Nothobranchius furzeri: one gene and its partner. The protein of the gene in region 1 purifies or fractionates together with the protein of each later gene. This does not show direct contact. Links are inferred from orthologs where the notes say so. Each region holds a gene or a part of one and is shown in the gene's direction. Other genes may lie near its edges. The genes, in order: ocrl and plekhj1.

What was found.
Region 2: the proteins of ocrl (region 1) and plekhj1 purify together in Homo sapiens (co-immunoprecipitation; 3 studies listed by BioGRID and IntAct, counting the BioPlex papers as one, with this or other methods). This does not show direct contact. The link is inferred for Nothobranchius furzeri from reciprocal best matches to the Homo sapiens genes OCRL and PLEKHJ1.

What each region holds. Positions count from the first base shown.
Region 1 is NC_091741.1:85,247,673-85,252,282, forward strand, and holds the start of ocrl (inositol polyphosphate 5-phosphatase OCRL), read left to right. Parts: upstream 1-1,794; 5' UTR 1,795-1,971; coding exon 1,972-2,012; intron 2,013-2,845; coding exon 2,846-2,926; intron 2,927-4,610. Other genes in the region: si:ch73-335m24.2 (protein eva-1 homolog C), read left to right, coding at 571-974. UniProt on the Homo sapiens protein: Catalyzes the hydrolysis of the 5-position phosphate of phosphatidylinositol 4,5-bisphosphate (PtdIns(4,5)P2) and phosphatidylinositol-3,4,5-bisphosphate (PtdIns(3,4,5)P3), with the greatest catalytic activity towards PtdIns(4,5)P2.
Region 2 is NC_091751.1:56,887,978-56,892,373, reverse strand, and holds the start of plekhj1 (pleckstrin homology domain-containing family J member 1), read left to right. Parts: upstream 1-1,443; 5' UTR 1,444-1,680; coding exon 1,681-1,774; intron 1,775-1,975; coding exon 1,976-2,043; intron 2,044-2,117; coding exon 2,118-2,184; intron 2,185-2,271; coding exon 2,272-2,362; intron 2,363-2,985; coding exon 2,986-3,049; intron 3,050-4,396.

The sequences.
Region 1 (4,610 bases):
CTGGTAAATTGGTTTATTTTGACATAATTACACAAAATGTGTTCTGAAATTGGAGCGGGCAGCCTTTAATGTAATTTGTTTTGTGTTAACTGAGCTGTCGATTCCTGTTTGTCGGCGACAGAGTAAGACCATCAGCATGTGATTCCCCCCACCTCACAATGGGTGGTGGTGGTAAATAATATTAAAATAAATAGGTAAATAATTAAGTAAACAATAAAAAATAGGTTTGTACATAATGGAAGTGCACATTTTGCGGACTGCAGTTCCTCGAATGGCCACATGGTGTGCTCTGCAGCATTCTCTGTAAACTAACCAGTGCTGCTTGAAAGAGACAGAGCCCTGAGACTGCTCATTCTGGAAGGTACTGAAACTGGCAAGAACAAATTTGTTGAGATTGATTTATGGGATGGGGATTTAGAGCAAAGAACTTCATAAACACTTTGCGTAGACCATAGGACTATTATAACTTCAAAAACTGTCAAGACCCCTTTAAAGCATTTGCATATTGTACAGGATGAAGCAGTACAAATGTTGTTTGACCAATGATAACCACATTCGTCTCTCCTTCAGTTTTCCCGGAGCGAGTAGCTCTGTACTTCGTTTCTGGCATCTGTGCTGGACTGGTGTTCCTACTCTGCCTGTTTGGAATTCGCTCCACCATAGTGAGAGATGTTAAGGATCTGGTTTCTGACCTGAATGATCAGATAAAAGCATCACGCAGAAAGAGGAAGGAGCTCATAGACAACCTCTTCGATGAAGAAGTCTCAGACACCTCCTCCTTCTGTCGCCTCACACAGTCTTACCGTACAACAGATGTTCTCAGCCCGTCAGCTCTAACAATGGAGATGGTTGATGTGCAGCAGACGAGGGATTTGCCCATTGGAGACATCTGGCCACACCTGGACTCTAGTCCTTATGCAATTCACAAAATAAAAACCTATAACAGTTGTGTGAAGCCATATCCGGTGATTTAAAAGAGCAGAATACACACAGAGAGATATTTGATTGAATGTCACCTAACTTACACCTCTCTGAATTAACTATGTTCATAATGTAAAACACACAATAACAAGGAGTCATTGTGCTCTATTCAAACTACTATTTGTTCAGATTTGATTTGAACAAGTATGGTTTTATCCACAATGACATTTATCTTCTCTGATTTAGACTTTCTTTGTGTAAAGGAATGGACAAGGCTCAGATGAACTCTATCCATTTGATTGACTTTTCTTTAAAATATTCTGTTTCATAACTGTTCATTCTGGTGTTAGTCTCAAACAACTCCACAATAATAAAACGTTTCCAAGGAAACTGACTGAAAAGTTTTTTTAATACTCTCAACTGAATCTGTTTAATATGCAAGAAAAAAATCAAATATTGTTTTTTAAATATTTGTGTCTGTCTTGGACAACGTAATTTAGATTTTTAAGCAGAAAATATAAATAATTTGCTATTAGTTTGAAGCATTTGTTTTTGCGGCATGAAGTCGCCGGGTGTCTGTTCATCCTCCAGAACACTGGGGAGCGCTAAGTACCTTCATGCGAAGGAGTGCACTAAAATTGAAGTCTGATGAAGGCGAAGAACGACTAGTCTGGGTAGCTAGCTAGGGAGCAAACCCTGGGAGTCTTCGAAGTGTAGCATATCTGTGTGCTACAAACCACCCGATAACGTTATGTTGTCCGAGGGGTTTGTCTCTTGACACCGAGAGGGACACGAGAGAAACTGAACATTCTCATGTTTCTGACAGAATGATGGAAGTTATCAGGGGTTGTTTTAACTCCTAAATTCCATTAAACGTTTGTGAGACCTTCCAGCGGCAACAATAACAACAGCTGGCTAAAGGAGCGGTTAGCCAGCTTCCCGGAAGGAGGCCGCCACAGCGCCGGGTGGAGATTTAACTTTTTTTTTGCCTCAACATCTGCTCAACGTAAAGACCCTAAAAGTGATACGTATTTATTTATCTTGGTAAGAATGGAGTCCACGCTGGGGATTTGCAACGAAGAATGCTTGGCAATATCCTTAAAGTTGTGTTTGAATTGTATACGAGTTAGCGAATGAGTTATGAACAGCTAGCCATGTAAATACAGTTGATCAGAGGGCTAATTCACTAAACCGTTGTGAGATAGCTACTTAATGTTATTATTCGGGCTGATTTAAGAAAGAATTTTCTTTTCCACAAAAGCAGTGACACATCATTTATTGTGGCGACACATTTAGTTAATACTGGATAATTTCACCCAGTTTTATTTACCTTTCTTGTTATGTATTATGATTATGTAGCATCACATTCTATTTGCGATTATCCAGTGGTTGAAGTCACAGTAACAGCTAACACTAAGAACTGCTAAACACGGAGGATATGTGTAGCTTGTATTGCTAAAATTGCTTAGATACATATATTTTTGTTCTTTGCCGCTCCTCTACTGTACTGATGGGCTCGGTCAAACCCTGAATTCTTCCTTTCACGTCTGTGGATCTAGTGATCTAAGTCTCCGTTTTTTTGTGGATTGATCTGGCCCAGGTTTCTCCTTTTACCCTGGTTATGAAAAAGCCTCCAGGCTCAGGTTTCAAATGTTGTTTGTATAAAACAACCTGGTTTAATATTTGCCCCTGTTAGATTTTTGCTGCCACTGGCACTATTCTTTCTCTCTTATTTCACGTTGTTAATGCTTGTCATTAATTTCCTTCCTGATTTTCAGTTTGCATGGCTTCATTAACATCTTTCTTCAACTGAAGACAGACTTATTCATAATGATTTTCGAACACTGTTCCGGTAGTACTGGGTAACAGCTGTAGTTGTGATATCTCATCATCCATCTCAATGATTCCTTGATTGTGCTGCTCAAACTGTAAAAGCTCAGGAGCTGAGGTCTGGCCAGAAGGAGTCCAGGTTACTGTCACTAATTGAACACAATGGAGAGTTTAAGTAAGTATCAGAAATAACAATTACTGAAAGTATGTTGACATTGGGTTGTCCCAATGTCCCAAAGCTGTGTGTTTGTTGCTGAATCGCTTAATAACACAGTAAGGTGTTTTGTTTTATTATTGCTCCTGTTTAGTTTTGACTTCATTCAAATGAAACCCAAGTTGTTGAGAGCTGTCTTTGTCAGAGGAAGCTGCAGTTGACCTGAAGTGTGTGACCTGAGCAGAATTATATGGGTATACAGGAGCTGCTTCATCAGTTAACCTTTAACAAGTTACTTTCCTGTTCCATAATCAAAAATAGAGCTCTTAACATTCAATCGAGCTGTTATCTTGTGTTTTATGAAGTTCTTAAACACACTTTGCACTAGACTGCTGTCACACTGATGGAATCTTAAAATGTGCAAATGAAAATTCAAGTTATTTTGATGTTGACCGGGATAACCAACATCGGTCTGTGTTTTCTATCCTGAATGTCAGATTTATTTGTCTTTTTGAGTTATCTCAGGCTGGTGGCTATTTTAAATCCAGGATGTTTAACTGAATGAGCATGCCCCTTTACACACACACACACACACACACACATACACACACACACACACACACACACACACACACACACACACACCACTCTTGTCACTACACAGATTAGCTCTTAGGTGTAAAATAACTGGATGCCATGTGGGCAGAACGTGGTTTCTGTGAGCTGGACAGCTCCAGGGCTTATTTGGTGAAAGGAGACTTTGTGTGTAGACAGTAGGGAGATGTTTAATCATATGTGTAGCTTGGAGTTACTTTCACCAGCAGTAACCTCACTGCAGATTATCCAGAATTCCTTCACTTCATCTTTAGCTGTAATGAGACTCACATGGGCACGCAGGCTGCAGGCTGCAAGCCCACACAAGCCACCAAAGAGTAATGTCATGAAGAGGGAAAAAACCATTATGAATGTTTCAAAATAGACATGATTTATTTTAAATGATTGAAAGATTTTGCATGACATAAGGCATTACCTGAGGTTCATACCAGTGTTCTGTGCCTTCGGTGTGTTTTTCTGTGGTATTTGCTTTTATGCACTTCTGTACATTGGCTTGGGATACAATCAGTACCAGTTTGTGGTACACAAATTATGGGATTATTGACACAATAATCTGGATAAAACAGACAAAACTGGAGGGTTTGTCACGTCAGGCTCTAAAATGTACAAATGGAGAATAAAAAAAACCATTTTGTTTCCTGTTGAATATTCTGTTGCGTTTACATCGGAAGTTCTCATCCTGACAGATTCGGGAAACTGCTTCTGACACATTTTGCCCAGCAGTCCTGAATAATTGTCCTCTCCACTATAATCAGACCAAGTGAAGGGGAAGAGTGGGCAGTGAGTGCCCAGGAAGACTCTTTGTCCTCTGCTGTTAGTCAGATGTTAGTGAGCACAGGAATGTGACCCTGCCTACATAAACCTACATCATGCTTCTGAAGCCGTTTGTGTCAACAGTTTGATAATTTAACACTTTAATCTTCTTTATATGCTCAGTGGATTTGTATTGATTAACTGAATGATGCACAGTGCTTGCTAGTTATTGTTTTTGTTGTGTGCCACTAAAGAGAGGTTTTGCATGTGTGTTTTTTCAATTTCTATTGTTCATGATAATTAAAGCACATCTTGACTCCATCTTCTCTGTTCTAAT
Region 2 (4,396 bases), on another chromosome or scaffold:
GCAGCTGGGATGAGCATCAGCTCCTCTAAATCCGAGACTATGGTCCTGAGTCAGAAAAGGGTAGAATGCCTTCTCTGGGTCCAGGGATGAGATCCTGCCCCAAGTGGAGGAGTTTATACATCTCAGGGTCTTGTTCACGAGTGAGGGAAAGATGGCGAGTGAGATTTACAGGTGGGATGAGATCGTGTCTGCAGTAATGCGGACGTTGTACCGATCTGTCGTAGTGAAGAGAGAGCTGAGCCAGAAGGCGAAGCTCTCGATTTACCGGCCGATCTATGTTCCTACCCTCACCTTTAGTCATGAGCTTTGGGTAGTGACCAAAAGAACGAGATTGCAGATACAAGAAGCCAAAATTAGTTTTCTCTGCAGGGTTTCTGGGCTCTCACTTAGAGATAGGGTGAGAAGTTCAGTCATCCGGAGGGGCTCGGTGTAGAGGAGCCAGTTGAGGTGGCTCAGGCATCTGATTAGGATGCCTCCTAGATGCCTCCATGGTGAGGTTTTCTGAGCATGTCCAACCTGGAGGAGACCTAAAGAAGACCCAGGACATGTTGGAGGGACTATGTCACACGAATGGCAAGGGAACGCCTTGGGATTCCCCTGGAGGAGCTGGCCCAACCTGGGGAGGGCCTCTTAGCTTAGGCTGCTGCCCCCACAAGCTGACTCCATATAAGCAGAAGAAAACAGATGGATGCTTTTGCTTTGTCAATTTTGCTAAACCCATTTTTCACTACACTTAGCTCTCATGGAGCACGAGCTTTGAATTTGATGAGCTAGTATCAGCAGTTTAAACAGGCATAAAACCAACCAGTTCAACATTTGGTGTTATTCCAGTTATTTAATTTAACAAGGAATCTTTTCAATACTCTTTTCTCCCAATCATGGATTTTTAAATCAATGTGCTTCATTTTAAGTCTTGCAATATTATTTTGCGAATCAATTTTTATACTGCAACGTTTTGTCGTGGCATAGTAGTACTTTTCAGTTAAGAAAAAGAAGAACATAACCTGAACAGAGTGATGTTTGATTTTTTTCTAAAATGTAATAATTATTTTCATTTTAAAATACTTCAGGAAATATTTTGCTATATGTGCCACGGTTTAACAAAAGAAAATAGTAAGTCCTGTAAGAAAATAAAGTAATTTATAATTCAATGTTTATAAAACAATAGGAAAAACTAGAAAAATTATTTTGTAGTTGCAGGGCACGGGACAAAAACTACCTCAAGTAATGAGTAAATGTTTATTGTTCAGTCAGAAGCACTCAAACATATATTTAATGTATTTGAGGAACATAAAGTTTTAATATTAATCAGTGAACGTTTATAAAGTTATCTATCCAGACATCATGCAACTCCTCGCTCTTACGAGCCATTTAAGCGTTAGCCCACTAGGTGGCGAAAGCGTATTTCTATTTGGTTTAACAAGCACCGTTAAACTCTCCACTAGAAGAAGAACCGATCAGCGTTTCCTGTTTGTTTAGCAGATGCCGTTCACTTGACTTTACTTCACCCTGGAAATAACCAAACACTCTCCATCACGTTTTCAGGACATCGGATAAAGAATCAGAATAAGTCGACATGATAAACAACGAAACTACTGCATTTATATTATTATTTTAACTCTATTTGAAATGTTTTGGTCGTAGAGACTAGCAAAGGTGTCCCCCCTCCCATTTTACGCGATGCGTTTCAACGAGAGGGAGCTGGTCTCTCTGAGCCGCCAGCCTTCAGAGATGGCCGCTGAAATGGGAATGCGAGGTCCGAAGAAAGGAGACGGTAAGACCTGTTACTTTCTCCGTCACTTTTCACTTCCGCTTGGTGTTATTTTGGGTCATATCGGTGAAACTGATCATCTCTCTCTCTCTCTCTCTCTCTCTCTCTCTCTCTCTCTCTCTCTCTCTCTCTCTCTCTCTCTCTCTCTCTCTCTCTCTCTCTCTCTGTGTGTGTACGTGTACGCGCGTGCGTGTGTGTTTTCAGTTGTCAAGAGGCGGCTGGTGAAACTCGTAGTTAACTTCCTTTTTTACTTCCGGACAGATGAGGAGGAGGTTAGATGAGTTTTTTTTCTCTGTCCCTGATGATGAGCTGTAACATTTTAATGAGTTCAGTGTTTATTTTTCAGCCAATTGGAGCCTTGTTGTTGGAGCAGTGCCGGGTGGAGAAAGAGGACAGTCAGACCTTCTCTATTAGTGAGCCCCAGACTCCCTTTCTGTGTTGATTTCTTACAGGCTGATTGGCGGTGACATTTTGTTAATGTTGTGTTTGTCTCTCTGTAGCATTTCTAGATGAAACTGAGAAAAAATACGTGTTTGAGTGCAACTCCGAGGAGCAATGTAAGGAGTGGATAGACTCTATTATTAAAGCAAGGTAAAACAGACTTTTTAATTTTCCTTTTTGCTGTGATCTGCTGTTTAAAGAGCAAGTCACCCCCTACCAAAGTATTACTCCACTCCCACTTCCTGTTTGGTCAAATGCAACAAATGCTGTTGCCTAGCAGACTGAGAGGGCGGGGCCACTAACAAATCCACACACACACGCACACGCACACACACACAGGCTCACAACGACATTGTGACATCATATGGTACCAGCTAACGTTTTAAGGTACCTCTTAGCCAATAGGGATGGCAGATTTAAATTCAAATGCAGTGCTGAGTTTTTACCTGACAATGGCACAACACTGACAGTTTTAGGCAGAAAATTAAAATTTTAAATAAAGTGCTAAACTATTGACTACACGTGTCTGCAGCACAATTAAACGCACATTTAGTTTATCAGAAAAAATAAGTTGATTTGGGAGTGACTTGCTCTTTAAGATCAGTCCAGACTTATCTGACCTCAAGTGTACAGAGTAAAATACAGTTAGATGTTCACACTGTTGTTTTACACGTATTTTAAGTTAGGATCAACAGTCGTCTGTGAACTTATTATATAATATTGGTTCTTAAACCAAAAAAACTGTTTAATGTATCTTGTCTATACTCTTGCAGTTATGAGTTTATGAGGAGGAATCTTATATTCTTTCGAACTGAAATCCACCGCCTCACTGGGAAGGTGAGTCCAATAACAGTGAGTCTGGCTAAAATCAGACTGCACCTTTAATTATTGGTGTCATGATGTGAAAACATCCATAATTTCAATAACTCCAAAAATGTTTTTTACAGATTTATGCAATGAACTCAAATGTATTTTATTAAATTATGAATGTAAACAGTGGTGGCTGGTCCATAAGGAGTGCCGGCCTTCCTGCGTAATTCTAAAAAGTAAATAAGACTACAATATATATAAATATTCACATATTTACTATTAATGTGTCAGATTTTCTTAATTGTGTGTGCCCACATGCAATTTGAATGATTCATAATTTTCATCAGCTGTCTCTCATTAAACAATGAATTTCCTCCATCAGGCCCACCATTTTCACTCCTCCAGTGCTCCTAAACTGCAACTAGACAGCCAATCATGTTTGGTTGCTAGAGAGAACTGGAGAATTTTGGGCTAATCAGTATCAGCAAATTTAACGCTGTGAATGCTGATAGAGAAAACAACTAGCTAGCATACCAGAAGGTGCGGAATCTCATTCTCACTCCCTGTCACTTCCTCATTCACGCAGATTCATTGTTGGTTTAATTTGAAGCTGAAATCACAGTGGTTGCTGTAACTTGTGTTTATTTCTTCCTGTTTATTTGATTATATTGTTTAAACAGCATCTCTAATTCAATTTTAAATTTTCTAATTCAAAAAAAAAAAAAGTATTTTTGAATTGAATTGAATTTCTATGCCGTATTACTTCCACCTACTGGCCAAACACAGTGTTGCGCTTTGAGGTAGAGCCCTGCACAGGCCTCAAATCTGAGCCCGTGTCCGGCCCGGCCTGAGGGGGTGGAGCCCCAGCCCGACCCGGCCCGAAAAGGTTTTCAGGATTCTCTGGCCCGAGCCCGATTTTTTTTAACCAGCTAAATGAAAGCAACGTGCGTCAATCCTGACCAATGTGTTAAAAGACGTGCAGGATTCGATCAATTTGTTTTTCCCTCGTTTACCATCACGGAGATGACGGCGCACTGGCTCTGGTGGTAATCAAGTTAAATTTGATCTCTTTCCAACAATTTTCACAAGAAAACAGAACAGTCAAAAGCAGGGCTTGAGTTGACCGGATAGTTCCAGAATAGAAAGAATTACCCCGACGCATGCAGACGAACTGACATTTTATTCGTTACACACATCGCAAATGTAGCTAAATCACCCAAGAAAAGATTCCCATCTGAACATCTGAGCTGCTCAGCGCAGCTCGCTGTCAGCGCATATGTGCACAGGGAGCTGAAGTTGTGGAGAGGGGTTTGGAGCGCATCGCAGAACCAGAGCGCATGCGGGAAGGTTCCTCCCACTGAAGCGAGTGTTTTC